Linked DNA regions of Oryzias latipes. The protein of the gene in region 1 purifies or fractionates together with the protein of each later gene. This does not show direct contact. Links are inferred from orthologs where the notes say so. Each region holds a gene or a part of one and is shown on either strand. Other genes may lie near its edges.

Evidence for each region.
Region 2: the proteins of ess2 (region 1) and protein FRA10AC1 purify together in Homo sapiens (co-immunoprecipitation; 3 studies listed by BioGRID and IntAct, counting the BioPlex papers as one, with this or other methods). This does not show direct contact. The link is inferred for Oryzias latipes from reciprocal best matches to the Homo sapiens genes ESS2 and FRA10AC1.

Annotation. Positions count from the first base shown.
Region 1 is NC_019870.2:13,785,168-13,797,912, forward strand, and holds ess2 (splicing factor ESS-2 homolog), read left to right. Parts: upstream 1-6,297; 5' UTR 6,298-6,581; coding exon 6,582-6,725; intron 6,726-6,852; coding exon 6,853-7,021; intron 7,022-7,139; coding exon 7,140-7,223; intron 7,224-7,454; coding exon 7,455-7,624; intron 7,625-7,857; coding exon 7,858-7,975; intron 7,976-8,060; coding exon 8,061-8,194; intron 8,195-8,334; coding exon 8,335-8,437; intron 8,438-8,799; coding exon 8,800-8,909; intron 8,910-9,015; coding exon 9,016-9,131; intron 9,132-9,208; coding exon 9,209-9,485; 3' UTR 9,486-9,653; downstream 9,654-12,745. Other genes in the region: gsc2 (homeobox protein goosecoid-2), read left to right, coding at 2,576-2,816, 2,890-3,125, 4,634-4,645; dgcr2 (integral membrane protein DGCR2/IDD), read left to right, coding at 11,543-11,624. UniProt on the Homo sapiens protein: May be involved in pre-mRNA splicing.
Region 2 is NC_019877.2:6,167,533-6,180,183, reverse strand, and holds the start of protein FRA10AC1, read left to right. Parts: upstream 1-6,415; 5' UTR 6,416-6,511; coding exon 6,512-6,529; intron 6,530-7,009; coding exon 7,010-7,089; intron 7,090-8,409; coding exon 8,410-8,502; intron 8,503-8,754; coding exon 8,755-8,800; intron 8,801-8,960; coding exon 8,961-9,037; intron 9,038-9,139; coding exon 9,140-9,223; intron 9,224-9,298; coding exon 9,299-9,383; intron 9,384-10,462; coding exon 10,463-10,508; intron 10,509-12,651. Other genes in the region: lgi1 (leucine-rich glioma-inactivated protein 1), read right to left, coding at 919-990, 2,934-3,005, 3,078-3,298. UniProt on the Homo sapiens protein: May be involved in pre-mRNA splicing.

The DNA.
Region 1 (12,745 bases):
GCGCGCCCTTAAGTCACACTAAATCAGTTCTTTAGAGATGAATGCGGTCTCTGGCTGAGAGAAAAGCACTCAATTGTTTATTTTTGCTTTAACAAGGCAGCAATTTTGTAATATAGGTGTCTAGTACTTTATGTTATATGTTGGACACCACATTTTTTCCAAATTTATATGTTGCTGCATTAAAAAGCTATGTTGCAACACAACTTTTATATCTAATAGTCTTCTTTTGAACTTCTGGTATATCCAGAAAAAGTGTCACCAACATGTGCACTAAAATTTAAAAAAACCCACTCCAAGGAAAATTAGGTTCTTGGTGTTTTAAAATATTCTTGCAACATTTTCCTCTTGATGGAGGCCATATATAAAGCAAATTAAGCTTAACGTTGCATTTCTGAGTATTTCATTTTTAAACCAGGAGCAGACGAAAAAATGGTGGAAAAAGCCTATAGCTGTGGGGGTCAAGGGCTGCAAGCTAGCAGGAAATCTTGTAAACAGATGGATGATAGGAAGTGGGGGAAGGCTTACTCTGCAGCAACACCCACAACTCAGAGGCGCATTTCTAATGGACTGTTGTCTCTATATGTCCTAGACAATGATTTTGTCTAAAAACGGCATAATCATAATGATCAAAAGACCATCACAATGGGACTTTAACAAGTAATGGAATGTTATGTTCGGCAATAATTGATAAAAAAAAAGTTTCGTCAATGCCAGTCAGACTGTATAACCCTATTCTGTTTGCATTCAGAGAAGTGATATCATGTGATGGAAGCAGTGTGTAAATATTGGGCATCACTGGATGTAATTTTAAAGGAGGTATTTATAATCTCATAATACTCTGGAACACACTTACATCAGCGGTCTGTCAGAGACAAAGTCCTGCATTTGGAAGTGGAATCACGAAATTGTCCAAGACATCAGAAATTGTGGAAGAAAGAGGAGCTGGGCCGGTGTTGCTGTTTGTGTTCAAATATAACATGACAAAATGTCTTGTTTCTGTTGATGCTGTTGGTGTAACCCCCTTACTCTGCAAATTGCCCCACTTCAAAAGATGAAAGAGGTGTATAACGTGTAAATACTTGAGTGATCGAATAATGGATTGATCTCAAGCATTGTAGTGAAAGCAGTACAGATTTCAAACAGATTTATCAAACTCATTACAGAAATGATGAAATGCATGTAGATTGAAAAAAATCAGAAAACAAAACCAAAAAAACACTTAAATCACATTTGCTTAATTAAATAGTGATTGTTAACGGAAGACATGCTGAGTTTAAGTTGAAGCAAAGAAGCAAAAATGTTAATACAATATTTGTCAATTTTGGATGTAGCTGCTTGAAATTAACAAAACAAATTATTTGATTCATTATCACATTTTAGCCTCTCTGAAGTCATTTTAAAATACAGACTTTGGTCCAATCAGCTCATGACAAACAGTAAAAATTCCATTGAGAGTTGACAGCTCTGTTCCCTTTATTTCTTGTCTAAAATATTGCTTACGACAACAACAACCTTTATCATTTTAATCCTGAGTAATGAAATTTGACCCCTTTGGCCCTGCACGGATGCGGCACAAGTCCTTCTGTTGGCAGCCACAATACGTGCAGATAATAATCTGACGTTAGCCACAAACTATACATCAGACTATCCGGACACTATTAAACCCCTGTGAAAAGGATGAGATGGTGTTTATTGTTATCTGTGTTCAAACCCCGCTTATAAGGCGGCTTAGGAGGGAGATTGCAGAAATCCATTAATTCCTCGAACGAAAAAGAAAAAAAAAAAAGAAAACAACAAAAAAGTGCAACGCACTGCCTTGTATGAAATCACAGGATTTGCTGGGCGGATGAATTTAACCTGTAATAGCTTTACCTCGACTGTGCACATTGTCAGAGGAGTCAAAGTGAAAAAGACTGCAGGGCGTAGATAAGACGCGGGATTGTGAATACAAGCCGTGTGCTGAATTTACTTCTTCAGTGTGTTTTTATCTTTAAAGCATCACGAAAATCAAGAAAAGGAAGCCATACATCCATCACTAATTGTGTTCAAATATTAAACACATTTGTTTATATCAACCTGAACAAACGCACAGATTTACCGATGGCCAATAAGTCGAAAAGTGATGACATGATATCAATTTAAAAGCTACTTGTAAAATTCAGTTTTGAGCCGCACAAAAATGTTCATCTTTAAATCCAGGTTTCTAATACCAAGCAATCCCTTTTCTCTAAAGCCCCAACAATAAGGATCTAAGGGGCTCTCCATGTCTCATTTTATGCATTGAAATCTGATTTCTGTTGGAGAAAGGAATGAAGAAAGATTAACTGAATCTAGCGTCCTCCATAACCTCTTCACAAAACTGCCCAGATTAGCCAGGAATTAAGTTTCAGTCATTTTATGTGTCTAGTCTGCAAGGGGATTATAGTTTTAAGGGGGGGGGGGTTTCTTCTTCTTTCCTATAAGGGCTTGAATTGCTGTTGAGGGAAGCGTAGAAAAAGAGAAGCCGCTGAGGCTGAAATATCAGAAAGATTTGTGTCCTGCAATCGTTTGTGCTTTCCCTGGAATTTCTCTGAAGATGGATGGACTGATGAGGACGGAGAGACAAAAGTTTTCCTTCTCCATTGAAAGCATTCTGAGCAAATGTCCAAATAGTTTAGGGGAGAAACTGGCATGTGGAGCGAGGGTTCTTGGACTCAAAGAGAGGGCGGTGTGTTCGGATGGAGGCCCGGCTGAGTCGGTGGGTCACGCTTGTCTTTGCTGCTGCTGCTACTGCACCCACTGTGCAGACATCATCCACGCCGATTTCATTCACGACGGTAGGACCAGACGCTCTTTGCACAAGCTGATCCTCTTGGTAGAATTCTGGCTTTAAATCTCTCACGTCTGCAGCCTGTCCGTACGGTTGGAGTCCAGCGGTGCTTTCAGAGCAGTGCAGGCTGGGGGAGGCTCAAAAGGAGGAGCAGCCGCCTGGTCAGGTGCAGAGGAGAACCAGACGTCACCGCACCATTTTCACTGAGGAGCAACTGGACGCCCTGGAGGAGCTGTTTCTGCAGAACCAGTATCCAGATGTGAACACAAGGGAGAAGCTGGCACAGCGTACTCATCTCAGAGAAGAGCGGGTGGAGGTAGGAAGTGCTGCGTCCATCATTTATTGGGAATAAAAAAAAAAAAATTAACTTGTTATTTCTTAACAGCACCTCCCTTTTTCTAAAACACAGGTTTGGTTTAAAAACCGAAGAGCAAAGTGGAGACGTCAGAAGAGACTTTCATTTGTTGAAACAAATGTGTGTGTTTAATACTTCAACCCTGTATCTGCTACTGCTTTTTAAAGGGTTGATCAGATCAAATATTTACCAGATGGAATGTAAAAATTCATAAATACTTTACTGAACTTTTAAGGCAGCTGATATATGAGCCAGAATGAATGAATGAATATGAAAACATGTAATCAAGCCGTTAAGAAAAACTTGAACATTCATTTAAAAAGAGCAAAGGGGTCTTGTTTGCCAAAGGTTGTGAAACATTTTTTTCAAAATAAACATTTTCTCACCTTTTTTTTGTAAAAATTAAGATGTAGCCTTCAGCAAAAAAGTAGTACACTTAAAGTTTATTTTAGCAAGTATACTTGAGTATAAGAATAGCAAGCATACGATACGAGTTATGTAGGAAATATACTAACTGAATACTTCTTCATACTACATTAAATCAGATTGAATTTACAATATATAGATAAAAAGTCAACTTAAAATATACGGTTGAAACTATAAGTTACCTCACATAAAAACACATATATGCCTTTTTTTCTCACCGTCAGACATGAAATAAAAGTAAACTTTCCCTGTTTTAGGTCAATTACAATATACACATTTTTTTGTATTTGCTGAATGTCATAATAATTTTTAGACACATTTTTATTACTTTTATCAAATTCAAAAGTTTACATACATTTAATTAATATTTGGTACTATGTCCTTCAAACTGCAGTACTTGGGTCAAACATCTTGGATATCCTTCCACAAGCTTCTCATAAGATTTGGCCCATTTCTCGTGACAGAACTGGTGTAACTGAGCCAAGTTTGTTGGTCGCCTTGCATGTACAAGCCTTTTCAGCTCTGACCATGAATAATCAATAGGATTTAACCCATTGTCCATTTGGAAGATCCATTTGTGCCCAAGCTTGAACTTTCTGGCTGATGTCTTCAGATGTTGCTTTAATATTTCCACATACACTTCTTTTCCCACGATGCCATCTATTTTGTGGAGTACACCAGTCCCCCCAGCAGCAAAACAAGCCCACAACATGATGCTACCACCCCATGCTTTACAGTTGGCCACAGGACATGTCTCCAAAAATTTAAGTCTTTATCCTTGTGTGCATTAGCAAATTTTAATCTGGCTTTTCAAATTTTTTTTTTCTTTTTGTGGGAGTAATGGCTTCTTCCTGACAGAGTAGCCTTTCAGTCCATGTCTGTACAGTACTCGTTTCCCTGGCGACACAAATGGCTGGACGTTCCCATGATGTTTACACTTGCGTCCAATTATCTGAACAGATGAACGTGACGCCTCTGGAAATTGCACTTAAGGAGGAACCAGCCTCCTTGGGTGCGAATCCTCAATTGTCTTGTCTTGTCAGGTTTTCTTTTGACTGTCCCACGATGCTTTCCAAACAAGTAAGTGTGTTTCAAATGTTGTCTAATAAGTATCCACAGGTGTACTGTATTTCTGATTAACTCAAATACTGTCAATAAACATATCAGAAGCTTCCAAATAGATGACATCATCATCTGGGGTTTCCCAGATTTTTTAAAGGCATACTGAGCATATGTAAACTTTGACTTTGATAAAAGTAACAAAAACGTATCTAAGAATTATTCTGACATTTAGCAAATAGAAATAAACTTGTAAATTGTAATTGACCTTAAAAAGGAAGAGTTTTATTTATTTTATATCTGACGATAAGAAAAAAAAAGCATATGTGTTTTTTATCATGTGGTGTATGTAAACTTTTGGTTTCAACTGTACTGCCTCACCTTTAGCATAGACTACTTGTAGTACACCTACTACTTTTTGGTCATGGAAAGGCCAACTTTGTGGCTAAAATTGAAAGTGTTAGCCTGTTTTTTCATGATTGGCTGCCAGTTTGAAGGTAAAGGCTACTTCTATTATTAAAACTACAGATTCTTTTTGATAAAAAACAAGGGGTGGGAAAAAATATGTTTAGTCAATATTGCAATGTCTAAGTGAAATGGGATTGAATTCAGATGAATTATTTGGTGAATATGCCTATGAAAGAAACTGAAAGGGTTCATACCGTAAGCAATCTCTTATGTTACAATCTCCATTTCCAATTATGTGACTTAAAATATTTATAAATGTCTGTGTGCCTCTTTTGTTTGGTTTATTCGATCCTAGCTATGGTTTATTTCCCGGGTTTCGATTTCTCCTCAGACCCAGTTTTATTGGTTTTCTTTTGATAATCATCCACAGCTGTCTTCAGGTCAATCATCTTCAGTGCATTTAATGTCTGATATTAAGCTTATTTTACTTTTCATGGGTCATTTGCTTTGTCAATTTTTTTTACACATTTTGTTTCATGCTTTTTCTGTTTTTGAATCGTTTTGCCAAAACTATGATTATTTAATAAAATTTTAATGTCTGCCACAAGCCTATTTTTTTTAGCACTTTGGGACCTACATGATCGGTTCCTGCTGACACATCCGTCTTTTTTAGACTCTCAGTCACTGGATACAATTTTATAAATTTCAAATTCAAAACTAAATCCACATTTTTAAAAAGGTACTTTGGGGAAAAATCAAACACTTGGTTTTAAACCTGTTTCTTTCCTAAGCTGCAGTTAAACAGAAATTGCTGCTGTCCACGTATCCAGCTTGTTTATTGAAAAAATGTAGTGTAAGGATGTTTAGAATTTCACGGGAAGTGTTGTCATTAGAGAAAAAGGGAATCATGTGAGTATACAGGCTTACCTAGAAAAAAGCTTAAACTGCTTTAAATAACCTCTTGTTTCTATTATCTTTCTTTTTTCTGTCTGTTAACTCCTTTTGGAAATATTGCTTTTCATGTGTGTATTATAATTGCATATGTTTCAGTTTACATGTTGCTATGAAACAATAAAAATAAAAAAATATTGTGGCAGGTATAAATGATTTAATCAGAAAAGAAATAGACTGACACTGAAAGCCAAAAAGGTAAAGAGTTCACCTGAGGGTGAAGGAAAACGTGACAGGAGGAAACGTTTAGTGGGCACTGCACTAAAAGGAATTACCACTAGATGGCAGTGCCAGTCAAACTGGAATGAAGGTCACATTTCTCTCCCAAACTGAAGAAGAGAAGAGCTTCCGGTTAGATTAGTGATCAGACATTACGTAAGTCCGTTCTGATTACGGGTGTTTTGATTAACATCGAGGGTTGATTTATCCAAATTATTTATTCACAACGCTTGTAAGAAATTTAAATCGCCGTTATCGAGTTAAATAATCACTTCCTGTTTTATATTTAGTGTTTGTTTGAAGTGGGAAGCTAGCCTTTACTTTCCAGGCTAGCAGGCTAATTCTTTGGCTATAATGGAGGGTAGCGCAAGCGTGAGGAGAGCGTTGTCCGGGACGCTCGTTCCCTTAGCGATCTCTACAGTAGCTCTTCGTGAGCCCGAGCCAAAGGATAAAGGAAAGCTGAAGAGAAAAGTCCTCGATGAAGAGGAGTACATTGAGGTAACGAAGCCAGCGTCTCGATATGTTTACGACTGCGTGAAGATTTCATGTGAGCTAGCTTGATCGATATTTTGGTTTGTAACTGACTGTACTTGTCTTGTGTTTTTCTCTGGTCTACTTTTGATAGAGCTTAGAGAAAATCATCCAAAGAGACTTTTTCCCAGATGTGACAAAATTGCAAGCTCAAAGGGATTATTTAGAAGCAGAAGAGAATGGAGACCTTGAGAAAATGAGAGAGATATCCATCCGATTTGGATCTAATTTGACCAAATCAACCCCACAATCCTCTGCACCTTGTGAGTAATAAACCAGTCTTTCTGTTTCTGTTTGTGTAGACGGAAAGAAAAACAAAACTTCTTTATTCGATTTGTTGTAATTATTATTCTGTTGTCTTACCTTTCCTTTGTGAGCCAGATGTGACCCCAGCCAGCTTTGAAACCCCAGTGGGCTGTCCAAAATCTCCATCCTCCAATCACTGCAGCAAAGTTTCTGAAGGGGGTTAGTTTTAAATGTTTGTAATCAACTATTTACATTTGTAACGATTTAGTCTCATGTTCACAATTTCATATAAATTGGCTTAAAAACCTCAGTTCCTGTTTAAAAGTCATCTGTCTATATGTTACATTCTTTATCCATGTGCTCAGAAATTGCTAAGCATGAAATGGAAAATGTTAGGCCTACAGTTGGCGAGCACTAAATCATCCCTGTCTTTCATGTATGATTTTATAGAGCATAAGGAGGATGATGGGGAAGACAAAAAGCTTCCCAATCTGGACCGTTTTCTTGCCAAAACTACCAGTGAGGATAATGCCTCCTTTGAGCAGATAATGGAACTGGCAGAAGATAAGGAGAAGCTGAAGCATGCCTGGTTGTATGAAGCAGAGGCAGAGTTCAAACAGGTTGGTGTGAAGCAGTTATGATAGTGAGGCTCACATGACAAGCTTTGAAGCTACAACTACATTAGAGATTTTGTGGTAATACACTCATGGCCTCTCTTATGTAAGCCAATTATGAAATCTGTGAGTTAACGTTTACCAGTTTAATTGTGTCTGCCATATAACTGCATCCAAAAATTGCAGCGATAATGCTTTGAAAATGTCTTGCCTCAAAAGCTTTCTTTCTTTCTTTTCAGCGCCACGAGAATAATCTGGCTTTACCACCGGCGGAGAAAGCTGCGCTAGAATGTGTAAAAGCTGGTCTAGAGACGTGGGAGTACAAGGCAAAGAATGCCCTTATGTATTATCCAGAGGGTAAAGTATTCATTTAAATTATTTCCTATACTGAAGGTTTACAGTAAGCCCAGTCTATTTGAGATTTTTTATTTTATTTTATCAGGTGTTAAAGATGACGACAGTGTCTTCAAAAAACCAAGAGAAGTGGTCCATAAGAACACTCGGTTTTCCGGAGACCCCTTTAGCAACGCTCTCAACAAAAGCCAGATACAACAGGCAGCAGCTCTCAACGCACAGGTACACTGTTTTATTTTAAAACACAATTTAAAGTATCTCATGTGTACAGCTATGAAGTGTTTTTTTCTTACCTGGCAGTGCTACTAACAAGTCATCTTTTCCTGAATCGTGTTGCTAACATGATGTTGTGTTTTTTTCAGTTTAAACAGGGAAAAGTTGGTCCGGATGGAAAAGAGCTAATCCCACAGGAATCCCCCACAGTGAACGGATACAGCTATGAGAGAACACCTTTGGTCGCACCTGGTGAGTAAACCACCGTGGTTGTGCCTGAAGACTAAAACTTTATATGGAGTTGTTGGGATCCTATCTTAATATGTCTGTCCAGCTCAAGATTAACCCATAGTTTCACAGCAGAGCGGGTTTGTCATGCCTTTGTTTTCCCTGTAAACACAGAGCTGTATACACTGTCTTTTTTTTTTTTTTTTTTTGCATCTGCTACCATAGTAATTGTTTTTCTGAGGAGAAAACACGCTGCTGTTTCTTTTTTTTCCCTAACTTTGCTGAAGCTGAAGTTTCCTTTGAGGCAGCAAAATTATCTATAGGCGGGTTTCATGTGCTCTTTCTCCTTAAGAAGCTTTCGACTAAAAGTATTTGTTGTTTTTTAGGTGTTTCTGAGTCCCCTCTTATGACCTGGGGTGAGATTGAGAGCACCCCATTTCGCTTGGACGGCTCAGACACTCCATACATTGAGAGAAACCATGGCCCATCCTTTAAGGTGCCAAACTTAAAAAAAATAAATGAAATAATTGTTGTTTTCTAGCTCCTTTGCATTTTTAAAAATGTGAACATTGCCATTGTTTGTTTGTTGTTGTTTTTTGAAGATTCCGGAGCCAGGAAGGAGGGAAAGGTTGGGTCTGAAGATGGCGAATGAAGCTGCGGCTAAAAACCGTGCAAAGAAGCAAGAGGCCCTACGGAAGGTCACAGAGAACCTTGCAAGGTATTGACAATTGCCTTTTTAATTAACCTGTTTGGGCACACACAAAGAACTGAAAAAGCATTTTGTTTTGGTTGCAGTCTTACTCCCAAAGGTCTGAGTCCAGCGCTTTCGCCCGCCTTGCAGCGGCTTGTTAATCGGACGTCAAGCAAATACACAGACAAAGCCTTAAGAGCCAGCTACACCCCTTCACCCTCACACAGAGGGGCAGGCTGCAAGACTCCATTTGGACCCGACACGCCTTCGGGAACACCAACGCCCAACAAAGTCAAAACTCCCGGCTCTCAAGACCTCACATCACTCACAGACAATCTGCTGCAGCTTCCAAAAAGACGGAAAGCATCAGACTTTTTCTAGAAGCAGTTTTCTGTGAACATTGTAAAAAAGACTTTTATAACGAGGATTTTTCTATGTAAATAGTCCGTTTTTTTGCAGCAATGACATAAAAAATGTGGACTGAAATTTCTAAAGACCTATTTATTGCATCTTTCTTCATTGCTGTAAAATAAACATTGATACCTACAATTTGTTTCTACTTGCTTTGCCCCTAATGTAAGTTCTCATTGGTAGTTTTGTTGTCTTGCAAATAAGTTCGGTCGAAAGGCAAAACCTGAGGTTTTTTTTGGTGTCATTTCATAAAAATAAAATTAGGAAAACATTTTAAAGTATTCAAATGGGGTTTCAATTATCACCTAAAGGAGAAGGAAAAACATTTAAAACTTTTGTTAGTAAAACTAAGTTTACAACAGAGAAACTGTCGAAGATGATAAAAAATAATAACAAAGCTTAACTTCCAATACATCCAGTTGAAGTAATTTAAAGGAAAAAAACTGTTTAAATAACTTAAAGATTAGCAGCAAAGATCAGTGTCTGGTTTAAGTATGACTGTTTGGGACGTTTTAAAAATCAAGTTAAACCTTTGCCTTTGTGAAACCGACATCTCCACATTTTTAACACAAGAACTCACTCAACAGGTTTTGCCTCCAGCAAAACAAACTGGGTTTAGGATACTTAAAAAAGCATCTCTTTTTGAGGACATTTGGGTGTTGGTTTATTTCTGTCAATAAGTGGCAGAGATGAAGGCCTGATTCACACAGTCTCCTGCTGCTAGAACTCTGTGCCATTGACCTGCTCTCTAATCTGAGCTGCTGTTAACCTGCCATTTCTGAGGCTGCTGACTCGGATGAATTTTTCCTCCACAGCAGAGGTGACTCTTGGTCTTCCTTTCCTGGGGCGGTCCACATGTGAGCCAGTTTCTTTGTAGCGCTTGATGGTTTTTGTGACTGCACTTGGGGACACTTTCAAAGTTTTTCCAATTTTTTCAGACTGACTGAACTTCATTTATTAAAGTAATGATGGCCACTTGTTTTTCTGCACTTAGCTGCTTTTTTCTTGCCATATTACAAATTCTAACAGTCTACTCAGTGGGCCTATCAGCTGTGTATCCACCAGACTTCTGCACAACACAACTGATGGCAAGAAACCACACTTATTAAACCTGACAGGGCACACCTGTGAAGTGACAAACATTTCAGGTGACCACCTCTTGAAGCTCATCAAGAGTGTGCAAAGCAGTAATCAAAGCAAAAGGTGGCTACTAAGGACCTAGAATATGACATATTTTCAGTTGTTTCACACTTTTTTGTTACATATATAATTCCACATGTGTTAGTTCACAGTTTTGATGCTTCAGTGTGAATCTACAATTTTCGTAGTCATAAAAAAAAGAAAAACTCTTTGAATGAGAAGGTGTGTGCAAACTTTTGGTCAGTACTGTATATAAATGATATTCTTCATATATGTATGAAGAAACTCCTTATTAAGTAAATCCATTTAGATAGATAGATAAAACTTGTTTAAATAAAAGTAAATCTCTACATTTTCACTATTTACTCTAGTTCCACTGCGAATACAACCCTTTTTAGCTCAACCGAAATCAAATTAAATAAATAAAGGTTCCTCTATTATTTTTCTTTTATTCAAAATAAACCTTTATTTACATGAAGTTTCCAGGAGGCGCGTGCCGTGTCAGTAGCTGTGATCTGCCGCGCTCCGCCCCGCCCCTCTAGCGCTTCCCCCGCCCGTGCCGCATGTTTGGAATTGTTGTGATGGGGGAGGCCGCAGCCATCTTGGATGAGCGCCGCTACGCACCGAGCAAGCGAGCAAAGGACGGACGCCGTTAACGACGGGAGCTAGCTAGCTAGCGTTAGCTGTTCGGTCAGATTATCTACGTAATGCGACTATGGTTTATATACCTTCTTTAAGTCCCTTAAACGACACCTAAAGTGTGTAGAGATGGATTTAAGACGTGTCCGGCGGTGATAGTTGTGTTTTGGAAGCGGGCGGAGGCGTTGCAGACCCTCGGTATTATTAAATTTTCCAGATAGAGAAGAGTTACTATGAATGGAGGATAAATGTTGCCGAAGGCTGATAGCAGCAGTTTCCTCCTCTTTTCTCTTCTCTTCGTCCTCACCGTAACGGACTCGCCTGGGACAGGTAAATAAAGACAGTTTGTTGTTGTTTTGGAGCCGAAAAGTAGGAGAGGCAGATTCCAGTTAAATGGGGGGGAAGAGGGCGGCAGGTCTGGCGCAGAGGCCTGCAGGACAGACAGACCAGGGCTGTTTTTATGCTGGTTTGTAACGTGTTCCTGACCCTGATTGATCATCAAGTCCAGGAGAATTTACACCTGAGGAATAGCTTCTAGTCGCAGAGGATGTAGAAAAATGTTAAGTTAAAAAAAAATCCACGCAGGAAAAAAAATCACAGATCAGTATAATTAAGTCTCGAACCCTAAGATTAGTCTGCCAAACAACTAACTTTAAGAAACTATACTTTTTAGGGAGGTTATATTCAAACAATTTCATATAGATATGTTTTAGGGGGAAATTATATCGCTTCAATGGTTTTGCATGTTGTGATTTCCAATCATCTTGTTGGAAATGCATGGCGGAAAAGAAGAAGCATGCCGTGATTTTTGATGGTAGAAATCCGTGTTTTTACACTTGTTATAAATGTTTTTCTCTGCTTAAAAATGCCCTAAAACACATAAGCACGTGAAAGCACAGAGATGCATTAGGAACATGGATGAGTAAAAGGGGCCACTTCCACTTCTAGCATGTCGTAGCATCTCTTCTAGTTTCTGTGTGTTGTTGTTTGGGAACCAAAAGAGGAAATGTAGGAAATTCCGATTGTCGTCTTGTTTGAATGGAAGCCTTCGGGCCTCTTAAAAAGCAGCAAATGGATCTTGTGGTTTCCCTCAGACTTTGTCTTGTGATCCAGCCAATTGCGTGGATTAGAGAAAACTGCCATCAGCTCAGCTCACGGATAAACACGGCACTGTTTGGTCCTAACTGAGGATGAACTCTGCAAAAAGCAAGTTAATCCCAAAACACTTTTGATTCCCTCATTATGGGGTTGTTTTATGTCTTTATTTTTATTTTTCAATTGAAAGATTGAATTAACTTTGCTTAAAAACGCCCATTTTGTTCAATTATCCTAAAATAGTCGAGGTTATCCTCTTGACAGTTGCATCCTTTCACACTAACTGGATGTTTGTATGAACTTGTTTGAGTTTTCTGACTTTACCAAGTTCGTTGGATGCCTGATATGGATTTGCA
Region 2 (12,651 bases), on another chromosome or scaffold:
GTCAAAAAACACGAAAATCGCCATTTCTCTGAGTTCGCCACAAAATGGCCGCCAAGCCGCAGGTCGTGTGGCCATCCCATAATAATTTCATAACTTCTTTGGGATATCTCCAACACGCCTGTTTTGGTTTCGTAACTGTATTTTGAAATATTTTTTTTTGGCCCCATAAGCGATTTTCGGCCCATTCATTTTTTTGACGGGATTGCTCGCCGTGATGTCATCATCGTGGGGGGGGTGACGTTTTCTTTGCCGAAAATTCATTTTCAATTTATCCTAGGTGTGTGCCAATTTTGGTGAGTTTTCGGGTATGTGGTGGGGGTCAAATTTTGGCTCAAAGTGGAAGAAAGAAAGAAGAAGAATAATAATGAAACGAAGCAGAAACAATATAGAAGTTTTTGCAGTCAGGTGGCCTATGTATTTCAATGCGGCCTGTCTTTTACTATAGGCTGGGCATGTCTTTTTGGCTTTAAACCCGTCTTTTGAGGGCTTTTTGGGGCTTTTTTGTGTTTTTGTCGTCATTTTTGCGACTACAATTTTTACGTTTTTGCGTTGGTGTTGTGCGTGTGTGTGTGTATTTTTGTTGCGTTACACAATTGTCGTGTTGTTTTGTGCTTTGGGCGACTTTTGACCCCATTTTTTGGCGTTTTGACGCGTTTTTTTGACGTTTTGGACCTTTTTGAGTGTTCGACCCTCGTAGCAGTTACAATATGGTCCTTGCACTCTGTGAGTGCTGCGGGCCATAAATATTGGAAAGTATACAGTTAACTTACATTTTTTTTAACCTATCCATAAAAATTCATTGCTACAATAAAACAACGTATTTTAGTTTTATTTTTTATAAAAACAAATGAACAGAAAGACCCTTTTTGTCATTACTGGTTAGAGCATTTGCAGTGTGTTTCAAAATAAAATACTTACAGATACTCCAGGTGAGGTAAACCAGCAAACGCATCCTCGTCTATAATATCAAACGTGTTTGCTGTGAATAATCTGTAAAGAAGGAAAACATTTTTTTTATCAAAGCAAAAGGATAAATTTGAAAATTATAAGTAGAGAGCATTCCTCTAAAAAGAAAAATATAGTCCCTTTATGCTTTTTCAATGGAAAAGTTTTAGACATTTTTTAACAGAAAATTTTTGTCTTATTCTTTTAGTGATCTGAAAAACTGCAGAATTTTGCTTCTTTTAAAAATGTGGTTCTTAAGGTCAATAACAAAAGCATGCTTGTGGAGACACAAAAGCTTTAAAGCCAGAAGGACGAGCCTTTGTTAAAATCAGGCCCGACGGTTGATGGTAGGCAAGGGTGGGCCAGGCCCGCCCTCCCAAGAGTAACACCCTTCCCAGGACAGGCGCTCCTAGGTATTGTTATACCCTAAACTGCAAAAAAAATTAACATTAGAACTTAGCAAAAAAAAAAAAAAACAGCATGGGATGCACAAGCAGTAATGAAACTATACATTAGCATCAGCGAGGCAAGTGCAGCCAAGCATGTCTGCTCCGCCTCTCCACTTAATGTTTCGGAGCAAGGTCAAATATACGGGGCAATACCTCCAAAATACGGTGACTGCCCCCCCCCCCCCCCCAATGCCATAACTGCCCCCCAAATGCGATAGCCCACAAATATCCACACTTAACTAAAAGAAACAACAATTACAAGAAAAAAAACACAAAAACCAAAACAAACCCAAAAAACAAGAAAAAACAGAAACCAAAATAGAATTTAAAAATTTAGACGGACAAATAGACAAACATAAAAAGAAACAAAGGATAAATGCAGCCTCAATAGAGCACAAACCAGTGTCCTGCTTGTGCCTGTCCCAAGCCCGGTAAATGCAGAGGCCAGTGTCAAGAAGAGCATTCATCTTTACACTTAACAAATCAAATCAAATCAAATTGATGAAAGGAGAAGATAGATGAATGGATGGATGAACTGATATGATGATAGCATGGTTTTCTAAGCATTTACAAGACTCAGCACATCCAGACTTGCCCCCCTTAATATTCTACCTGCACCCCACACTGGGGCTGGTTGAATCAGGGCCTGTGGTACCACAGTGGCAGCACTAGGATCTGCTCATCGGGTCCAGATGACCCCAACGACTGAATCTGAAACCCAAGTGTCTCTTGAAAATGATCCAGCGGGATATTTCACAGAAAAGACACAGTTTCTAAGGACCCTGGTTAGAATATTTAGTACAAAGTGATGCTGCATATGCAGAAATCCCAATCTGATTTGATCTCAGTGATGTTTTGTGAATTCTCCTTTTTTATGTTTGTATTTTAAGGTTTGAATTGTGAGATTTTATTAAGATATTAAAAGAAAATATGCGATAGTTGTGCCTCCCCCCAAAATGAGCAACATTGTCGCTAAATGACTTAGTAATAAAATTTGTCAGATGATATTTCAGTCGTAGGATGTCCAAAACTCAAAAAAGGATGGATCATGTCTCTTTTAACCCAGTGATTGTAGCTTTTGTCACAGATAGAAGCCCTATTGATTGAAGTGTGGGTCTAATGGAGGTGAAAACAGACTCATTAGTTACCCCCCTCCCGGCCCCCTCCTTCTTGTCACGCTCTTTTGATCCCTGATGCCTCCTCCTCCTCTGGAGAGCTCCTTCTGCCACAACTGAGAACATGAAGATGGAATCCTCAAAGCAGAGGCTTTGTCTGGGAAACCTGTGCTCACTGACAAGCTGCTTTCATCTGACTTGGGTTCCTTCATGATGGCTCCAAATCAATCCATCAACGCTGATAAAAGTGGCCACGAGGAGAGGAGAAGGCTGTATTTTTGTTCCTCAGTCCCAGCTGTTTGTTTCTGCGAGCATGTGGTTCATTGCATAATCCTGACACCATTACAGGGAATCCCATTGAATTTGCATAACTCCCCTCCTTTGTTTGTTTCCTTCCCAAATGGATGTAAACAGACATACTCACAGGAGTTGCAGGTGGGGAGTGTGCACAAAGCTCCCCCCGGTGATTTCACTGAATCCTGACTTGACAAAAGACCTAAAAAACGGAGGAGAAATGAGTGGGGACCTGTGCGTGGCGCCCCGGAGAGCAGGCTGGAGTTGCGCTTACAGAGACAGCACGTCGGAGGGGAAGGCGTGCGGCACGGAGCGTACATCCTCGCACAGGGCATTATCCTTGGTGCAAGTGCATCCAGCGGGGCATCTGGGCTGCTTCACCCTCCGTCCGTCAATCAGCACCAAACTGGCAGCGGCGACCCAAACCAGCAGCCTCCAGCCTCTCCATCCCGGCTGTCCCGACGCGCCCGGCTTCAAACTTGCGCGCAAAAACATGCCAAACGATGTTGCGCTCTTCTTTTTCTCCCCCTTTTTTTTTCTCTGCAATAATAAAAAGCTGTGATGCAGGCTTGAGTCGATGCCTCTTGTGTGTTGCGAGGAAGGCACCAGTCCAACGGATTTGTTCTGCAGGGGGCAGGATTACTAATGTGGGACGCAAGAGCGCAAACATCCCAGACTGCTGTCGTTTGGTGATCTCATCCTCCCAAAGTGAAACAAGGTGTCTGAAGTAAGAAGAGACGCCTCTCTCTTATGCCTAGAGGGGCTCCAGAAAGTAAAAAGAGAAATGGAGAGGACAAGGAGAAGGAAGAGGAGGAGGGGAGGCCCTTAGGTGCACTTTTTAGAGGCGCTATTATTTATGCGCGTCTCTGAATCTAATGGGAAGCTGCTATTCATGAGGCTCTGTGCAAATGCACCTGCCCCACTCATCAAATGCTGCCTCCTTTCTTCCCTGCTCCAGCCTGATAATGATGGGAAAGGGGAAAGAAGATGGATTCATGGAATAAACAGGGCACACAGGCCAAACCCAGACTTGGGTTCCATTTGAATTTAAAGCAGAAATATTCTCCTTTTCCTGTCCTGTTTCAGAGCTGACAAAAAGTCCTTTGTTGATTTCAGTGGAAATGTGTTCCCACAATGTATTGAACTTTCACCCAGGCTATTAACTATATTCCAAGCCTTGAACAACCCCCCCCAATATAATGGTCTTTTTTATTTTTCCATCTACATTTCCCAGGCCTGCAAACAGCCTTTGTACCTCAGAGATCGATATTAGGCCCGATAAGCTATTTAGTGTGTAAAACTGAGCCATTTGTTCCAACATTAAAGTCTTTGTTGAATAGTCTGCTTTCATTTTTCAATCAAATTCCAACTGGAGCATGTCTGCTGATAATAGTCTGGCCTTAAATGGCCTCATTGGAGGACTGTTTAGAAATTTACAGGCCATTCATCAAAAACGTCACATAAATCAACAGAAACAGGAAAAAATAACAGGTTTGTTTCTGATTGTTTGTCTTTTTGCTTTGCAAAAAAGATTACGCAGGAACTTAAAATAACATAAAAGAAACGACAGTGGGGTTGGGAGGGAGCATTTAAAACTGATAATATTTATCCAAAATCAGTAAAAATAATAATATAAATGATATATGTAACATAGATTGGGCCAGGCCACATTAAAATAATGATTTTTCCCTTTTTATCTGCTAGACTGCTTGGCCAGCATTAGAGTTTGGTTAAATGACAACCATTAACTTCTGAACCCTAATAAGATAGAGACAACATTTTTTGCCCCTGATGATACCCAGTATCAAAAGACACCTCAGTTCACTGAGCTCCTCTGTCCAGCCCAGTCTCCAGAATCTGGGTGTCTGGCTTGACAAATATTCATCTCCAGACTCTCACTCAAAGCTCCTAGTTAAAAACTGTTTTAATCCCCTGAGGAACGTGGTCAAACTGAAGATACTTTCATCCCAGTCTGATGTTGAGCTGATTCAGCTCTTATCTCTTCTCGTTTAGACTACTGCAATGCTCTTTTTACTTGTTTTAACAAAGACTCTCTGAAACGTCTCCAATTGGTCGAAAACTCTGCAGCAAGGTTTTTAGTAGGATCCAATAAGCCCACTCATCCCACCCCTCTGCTTTTATTGCTGCCTTGGCTTCCTGTTAAATTTAGAATAGATTTTAAGATTTTCATTTCAGTTTTCAGAGCCTTGCACTGACAAACCCAGAACTATATTTCTAACTCCCTACACTCTTGCATGTTCCTTGAGGTCCACTGATGAGAATCTTTTATGTGTTCCAAAAACTAGATTTAAAACTATAGGGGAGACCTCGCCTTTCAGGCAGTCGCTCCTCGACTTTGGCACGACCTCCCTCTGTCTCTGCGGCAGATCGACTCAGTTGAGGGTTTTAAAACTCAAGTTAAGACATTTTTATTCTGGAGAGCTTTTAGCTGACTTTTTCTTGTGTTCACTTTTATTTGTTTGTTTGTTCACTCATATACTTGAGTGTGTTTTATTTGGGTTTTACCTGCTTCAGACTCCCTGTGCCATTCTGTGTTCTTTCTCTGATTTTATTTATTTATTTATTTTTACATTTTGAAGCACCTTGTGGGTAGTTCTCTGCGAAAAGTGTTGTATAAATAAAGATTTACTTACTTACTTCATAATTCTTATTCTCCAATTCATTCAATATTGAATTGTTTGTTTTTGTTCCGAAATATACTTTCTTTAACCTACACATGGTATCCATCATACCTTACATACCTAAACGTTTATGTATAAATTGTATTTTGCACTGATATGGTGACAGCTTTTATGTATCCATTACATTATGTGGGATTTGAGAGAAGTGAAACATTAACCCCATCAAATATTTCTGTAAGACATGACAAAAGAGTGGAAGGTGACTTGCGTTTGGGTTAAGAGGTCGATACTTATGTAAATTTTAACAAAAGTTAAAATTGAACATAACCTCCAAATAATAAAATAGTGTTTGATGCATTTTAGTTGATGAATTTAAATCTATTCTCAAAATAACAACAAAAAATAAAAGAACCTCAACAAAAAAAGGAATACCCTATCTTTAAAATAAAAATGACTACAATTAAAAGTTATTTAGAAAATTATTCTCCTTTTATTTTTCTAATGTATTGTCTATGGAAATATTATCACTTTAATATTTCTATTATAAATATTAAAGTGAAGATGCACTCTGGACAAATTTAATGTTGACAATGAGTTTTTAGAAACAAAAAAGGGAAACTTCGAATATTTTATTAATATTTTAGGTGCATTCAGTCCAAACCTAAATACAGTGATATATTTTTGCAACTGGTATTGAAATAAGATTAATAAAAGAAATGATTAAAATTATTTACTTATGGCTAACGACAGATAAATAAGAGCAACAACAGTCTTCTGTTAAGTTTTGACTTTAAAGGACCCCCCCCCCCCCCAAAAAAAAAAAAAGGTTTCAAAATAACTCAGCCTTTGTGATTTTTAAAATGCTACAACATACAAAGATTTATATAACATTTTTTATTTATTAAAATAAATAACAATAAAAATATTAATAAAAACGAATGCAGGCGGGGAAAAACAAGCATGACGTAATCACACCGCGACGCTGTTGTGCTCACTGACGTCATCATCAGCCGACGGTCTGTCAATGTAAACATTCGTGTGCAGCTTCGGGAGAAAAAAAATACTCATGGAGAATCTTGTACAGGTAGATAAACTATGATACAATTTTCAGATCATATTAATGGGAATCTAATATGATACCAGCAGAAAATAATCCGAACTTGCGATTTTTTATTTTTTAACAAAACACTTGCTGTCTTAGATCCGAGAAGAATGAGGAGGGATGACAAAAATAATAGTGTTTTTTTTTCTTTCTCAAAAAGGGTTTTAAAGATATTTCCGCATTCGTTGTATGATATTACGGCGGTAGAAAAGAACATTTCCATGTTTTTCATGAAGCAAACTAAACCCGGTTGTGTTAAACACAAATGAGTCCCGTATGTCGTGAGAAATAATCCATGTCTGCTGCACACATAAAAAAAGTCTTTAAAGGACTGTTTTTATTTGATTTGGATGCTTTAGTTGTACTTTACTCAATCACTTCAATGACCTTGTGTATGGTTTTTACTAACCACAGATTTTCGTCCATCCTGGTTGTTTAGTGAAGGTTTGATTGAATCTGCAGGTCCATGGTGGGGGAGACTATGACTCAGACTTTAGTGATGAAGATCAACAGGGAGAATCCTCAGAGAGAGCTCGTAAAAGGTAAAACTTTCATCTACAAGAGTCCACATTTGTAAAGGAAATAGATTTATAGAGACATTTTCTATCAGCTGTCTTTTATTTGCAGCACTCAGTTATTATTTGTCTTGTAACTGTGTTATTTTAGCTTTAAGATGAAATTAAGAAAGATTTTTCTTTGATATTTAAATGATTTTATCAATTCATAATCCCCCCCCCCCCTTGCTTGATATAATCCTTTTTATTTATATATCTTTTAATCCCTTTTTAATGCTTTTTTACCATTTATTTTTTGATTAATCTCTGTTTTAACTTTCATGTGGTTCATTATTTTTATGTTTTGTTTGAACTTGAGTGTTTTCCTCAGAGGGATCCTCCACACCAGCCTCCTCAGTGCACAGGGTTGCTCTTCCTGGTCTCGCTCATAGAGCGTATATAGACCTGGACTGAGCGGCTGTGGCGTCACCCATAGAAAGTACTTCACCTTCGGCTCCAGCGAAATGAAACCAATTCAGAAGCCGTTTTTTTCCGCGAGACGGGAGCCACCGTTTGCCAGCCGACAGTGATTGGTCCGAGTTGGTCGTAGCCATGTTTCTATGGCGACTGCTGTTGAGCAAGCTTGTTGGAAGTCCACTCCCCTTCCACTGAAAGTGACTCAGGATAATCTGTCAATCAAATGTCCAAGGTGGGGGCCAGCGGGCACCACATGCTTTTACTGAGGCATCTGATTGGTCCGTTTATACCTTAAATAACTTTTTTATTCTGACTCATTCTGGTGAATGACTGATAAATAACTGTTTATTTCTGTATAGAAATCTATGGCCAATTGGAGCCAGCAGGTACTTCCTGTTTGAAATCCCTCTGTCCAGTTCCTTTATACAGTCAATGGTCTCGCTCCTGGCTTTGATTAGGGGGGAGGGTCCCCTAGAGGGGAGGGTTGCTGGTGTGGATAAGTCCCTGAAATATTGTTTCCTCACTCAAATACAAAGCCAGATTCCTACTTTTCCCACCTCGCTTTTTTTTCCCTTAAAGATTTAAAACTTCTGTGTGCCCCCCCCCCCCCCCCACACACACACACACAGACACACACAACTTCATAATAAAGAATGAGTCCTGACAACACATTATGTTACTACATTGTACTAAAAACACAAACAAACAAATAAATAAGTGATAATTACACAACACAAAGGTTAACAATGAGCATTGCTTCTCTTGTCTGACACTCCTGAACACAAAGCTCGTAAGCTGAGGTGGCCAAATTCCATGCAGTTGAAATCAAAAATGAGTATGAAAAGTGCTGTAAACATTTGATTTGATGAGCACTCTATGAATGTCTGAAAGGAAACACGAGGAGGAACTCCTGCAGAAGCCTTTCCAGAAAGGTCAACATTCAAAGGTCGCTCACCGCAGTTTGCACTCGAGTGAAGTGGACAGGTAACTCACCTGACACACACACACACACATACACCATTTCCGTTCTGACATGTAACACTTAACCAAAAAATGAACCTCTGATGGTATTTTGAGTGATAAATAAGCCCATTATAATTTTTCCACCAAGTTTTTCTTTACTTCTTTTTCTTATTTCTTTGTTTATGTAGCTAAATAGAGCTCAGGAAGGCAAAATGAGTGACTCTGCTGTCTTTACTCAGTTCTGTTGTAAACCGCATTTCTTTTTTTCTATAGAGAAGAAGCCCGGAACAGGAGAGCCCACCTGATTTCCTTGAACGCCGTATCTTTTTTTAATAAACATTAAATCAGAATTTAATAGGTTGGGATGGATGATTTCTGTTTTTGGTCATTTGGAAACATTTTAGTGCAGAAACTGATTTATTTTGCACTTTGCAAGTGTTATCTCTCAAAAAACAGGAAGACCTTAAGCAAATGACTAGTTTGAGCGGCATAAGAAGTTTGTCGGCGACTACATCCTCTACTATGGAGGGCAGATGGCCGACTTCAAACGCTCTGGGTACGTAGAGATTCAAGCCGCTTCCCTGAAAAGTTCATCTGCTGGGAATCGGATTCTCTGGAACCTCTGTTGGTTTTTGTCAAACGTTTTTTTCCCCTTCAGGGTGAAAGATAAAACGGATCTGGACGTTCTGCGCGAAAACCACCGCTTCCTCTGGAGGGACGAGGACGAAGAAGACATGACATGGTGATCCTCCAGAGTCCGGCGCTGAACTCGGAGCTGTCGATGCCCTCGCCTCAACCGGTGCCTTTTCTCCCCCAGGGAAAAGGAGCTGGCCAAGAAGTATTACGACAAACTCTTCAAGGAGTACTGCATAGCAGACCTTAGCAGATACAAGGAGAACAAGGTGAAGAAAAACAAAGAACCCAGAGGCTTCTGACCACCTTTGTTACACTTTATCCTTCAAAAAGATTACAGCTTTCTGGTCCGACGGCGATCTTTAAAAGCAACGTTGTGTCGAACTGAAGTGATTTGAACGTTAGCAGATTTTCAGATTTACGTCTATTTAGGGGATTTACAGATGTTAAGAACAGATTTAGTCAAACATCTTTTATGAAAGGAATAAAATAATAAATAGATATGAATAACACTGCTTTACTACATATGACTTGTTCGGATTCCTTTCAAATAAATTCGATCGTTTTGACTGCAAAAACTGAGTCTTAAGAAGGTAAGAAGACCTTGATTCAAGAACCAAATGTCTTATTTTCTGTAAAATAATCTGATCAAGAACGTTTTTTCATAGAAATATAATCTTAGCTTGAGAAAACATTGAAAAACTTTCTTAATATTAGTATTTTTGGTCAAATATTTTCTCTTACCCCATTGGAAGATTTTATTTTACATTTCTTTCTTCTGCTCAGTTAAAGTATTTGAACAATTCTTGACTTTCTTGGTGGCCTGTTTTTTGCTGTGTACTTTTCTAACAGGAAATGATTCAAAGGGGCAACGTGAACATCACTCTAACCCCCCCTAGAAAAAGGATAGTAGATGTCACAGAGATCACAGCAGAATCACACAATAAAAAACTTCCCCCTAAAATGCCAATTTATTAAATGGACATTTGACATTTGGCACACACAGTTATTAACCCTTGTTCTATCTTGTGGGGTCCAGATGACCCCACTCCCAACGTTGGGAGTGGGGTCATCTGGACCCCACAAGATAGAACAAGGGTTAAAAAAAAAGGTAACAAATCCTAACGTGTGTGTGGAATTCACTCAGTAAACAATGTTATGGATGTGCGTTTGACTTACTGTGCTTAAAATGTCATCTGTGATGATTGAGACAATTCATGACTCAGCAGATAAAATACGCAGCGTTTACCCATCAGCTTCAGATTCTGCTGCTTCACCCATTTCATGTTTTTCTGGGAGTTTTAACTGATTCCGTTGGTCAACTTTTCTGTCTTTCTGCAACCGACAGTTTGGCTTTCGATGGCGGACGGAGAATGAAGTTGTGTCTGGTAAAGGTACGTCTCACTTCCTTTAGTCCTCATATAAAGAAGGACAGACATCGTATGTTGTTACACTGAAAAAGGATTTAAAGATCTTTTTAAACATTTGATATTATTTTGACAGTCACACATAATACAGACCCTCTCCGATCATCTTTAGATCTGTTTTCAAAGCATTTCCAGTGCTCTCTTAATTATGATGATGCCGTTTTTAACCAAAAATCATAAAACTTGGGTTTTTTTCTAAGACACAGTTTCTGCAGTTGTTCATTAGAAATTCGCCTCTGAGCTGTCACTGGGACTGTTGGCGCAGAGCAACCCCCTCCCCCGCTCCCCCTTCCAGTCACCCGTAACTGAGCTCTCTGCCAGCTCACAGCCCCTCACAACCCCGACCTAACATTAGTACTGCAACAAAAATGGCGAGCACGATCTTTGTCAACCTGCATTTTTTTTAACATGCTCCTGATTCACAATGATTTGAATAAAAAAATACTCAAAAATGCACATTTTTAGCTTCATTTCCTTTATTTACATCCTCCATCCTCAGAAAAATGCCACAAGAATTTGTTAACAACAGCAAAAAGAAAAGAATTGAAAATTAAAATGGATTATCTTGCAATTGATAAATCCGTCCACTAGATGGTGCCAGAGGTAAAGAGACTCCCTGCAGCATTACATAACACTCCGTCAGTGCTTTCACCAGAAGCCTGTCCTCAGGAGAGACCTGTTCACATCTTTGTGTCATTTTCATTCAGCTTATGTTCTGACACGTTCTCTCGTGTGATTTTTGTCTTTGTTTTCTTGTTTTGTTTTGTTTTTTTTAACGCCCAAACCTCTGGGAAAAGGATGTATTGACGCAAACCGTGCCCCTCAGGTCTCTGTTTGCTCATCCTCACTCTTCCTCCACAAAATCTAGATGTTTCTGAGGAATCCTGATGATTAAAGCCTGTTTCATGTCCAACATTTGCGATAGTTATTTGCAGGATTACCTTCAAAGGTTGTTTCATTCTGCTCATCAACCAGATTAGGAAAAGGTAGTAGTAAATCCCCATCAACTTCTTTTCTTCTCAATGGTGGAATAAAATGGCGCCAGACGTCTAGTTTGCATATCTGTACACTGCTGCAGTCTCACAAGCATAAGTGTGTCTGAGAAAGCTGACTAAGCCAATATATTGTTCTAGATTAAGACTTTGTAATCCTGCTCTCTGACAGTTCATCCTCTGTTGCAATACAGAGGATGAAGCGCTCCTACAGGAAGTGGGATTAGACAGGTCCACCTCACTTCACTCCAACCGCCACTCCCGAGGTTTGTCCGCTATCATAGTTCCCAGAGGAAGGGAGCCGCTGCCGGACAGACGGAAATCTGAATGTGGAAGGACACGTTTCAGTGCTTTTCTTAACCTCCTCACTCAGAGCAACAACAAACCCAAATTCAAGCCAGAAAGCGAAAGTGTGTTTTCATTTCACAGATTCAATGTTACTCATGTGGGGGACAGATGTGTATTTTGTCCAAAACTACGCGCTTCTTATCCCCGATCATATTATTCTGTCCCGCAGAAGTCCTGGACAGCAAGGACCAGATTTTTTGAGCAATTCTTCTCTCTTACTGCGCCTTTAAGTCACCCAACAGCACATACTCAAAAAATACATGCTGGGGAAGGTGAACAACCTCCCCTCACCCCCCAAAAAATGATGACATCACAGCGGGAGAAAACGACCAAAAACAAATGGGGCCAAAACTTTCCAAAGCCAAAATTCATTTACGAAACCAAAACACACGTGTCGGGATCTCCAAAGGAAGTTTGGAAGTTATTATGGGATGGCTACAGCTTGGCGCTTTGTACTTGCACTGACGCATTGGGATTCTTATTTCTGCTGGGATGATAAGCAGATCGCTTCAGGTTAAAGACCCTCTTCAATGCAAATGGTGTTTTTTGTGCGTTTTTAACATGTTTTTGTAGCATTTTTTTCATGCTGGAGGACATTTGCAAGTCTGAGGATTTTTTTATTCAAATAAATTAATGCTGTCGGAAAAAGCCAGTAGCTTTGACAGAGCTGCCACAGTCGGCGAGCCACACCCTCCCGGCTCCGCCCCATTCGGATGTGATGATGGATTTGTGATGAACCCCTGCCGCTCGAATGAAGGCGCTTTGATTTT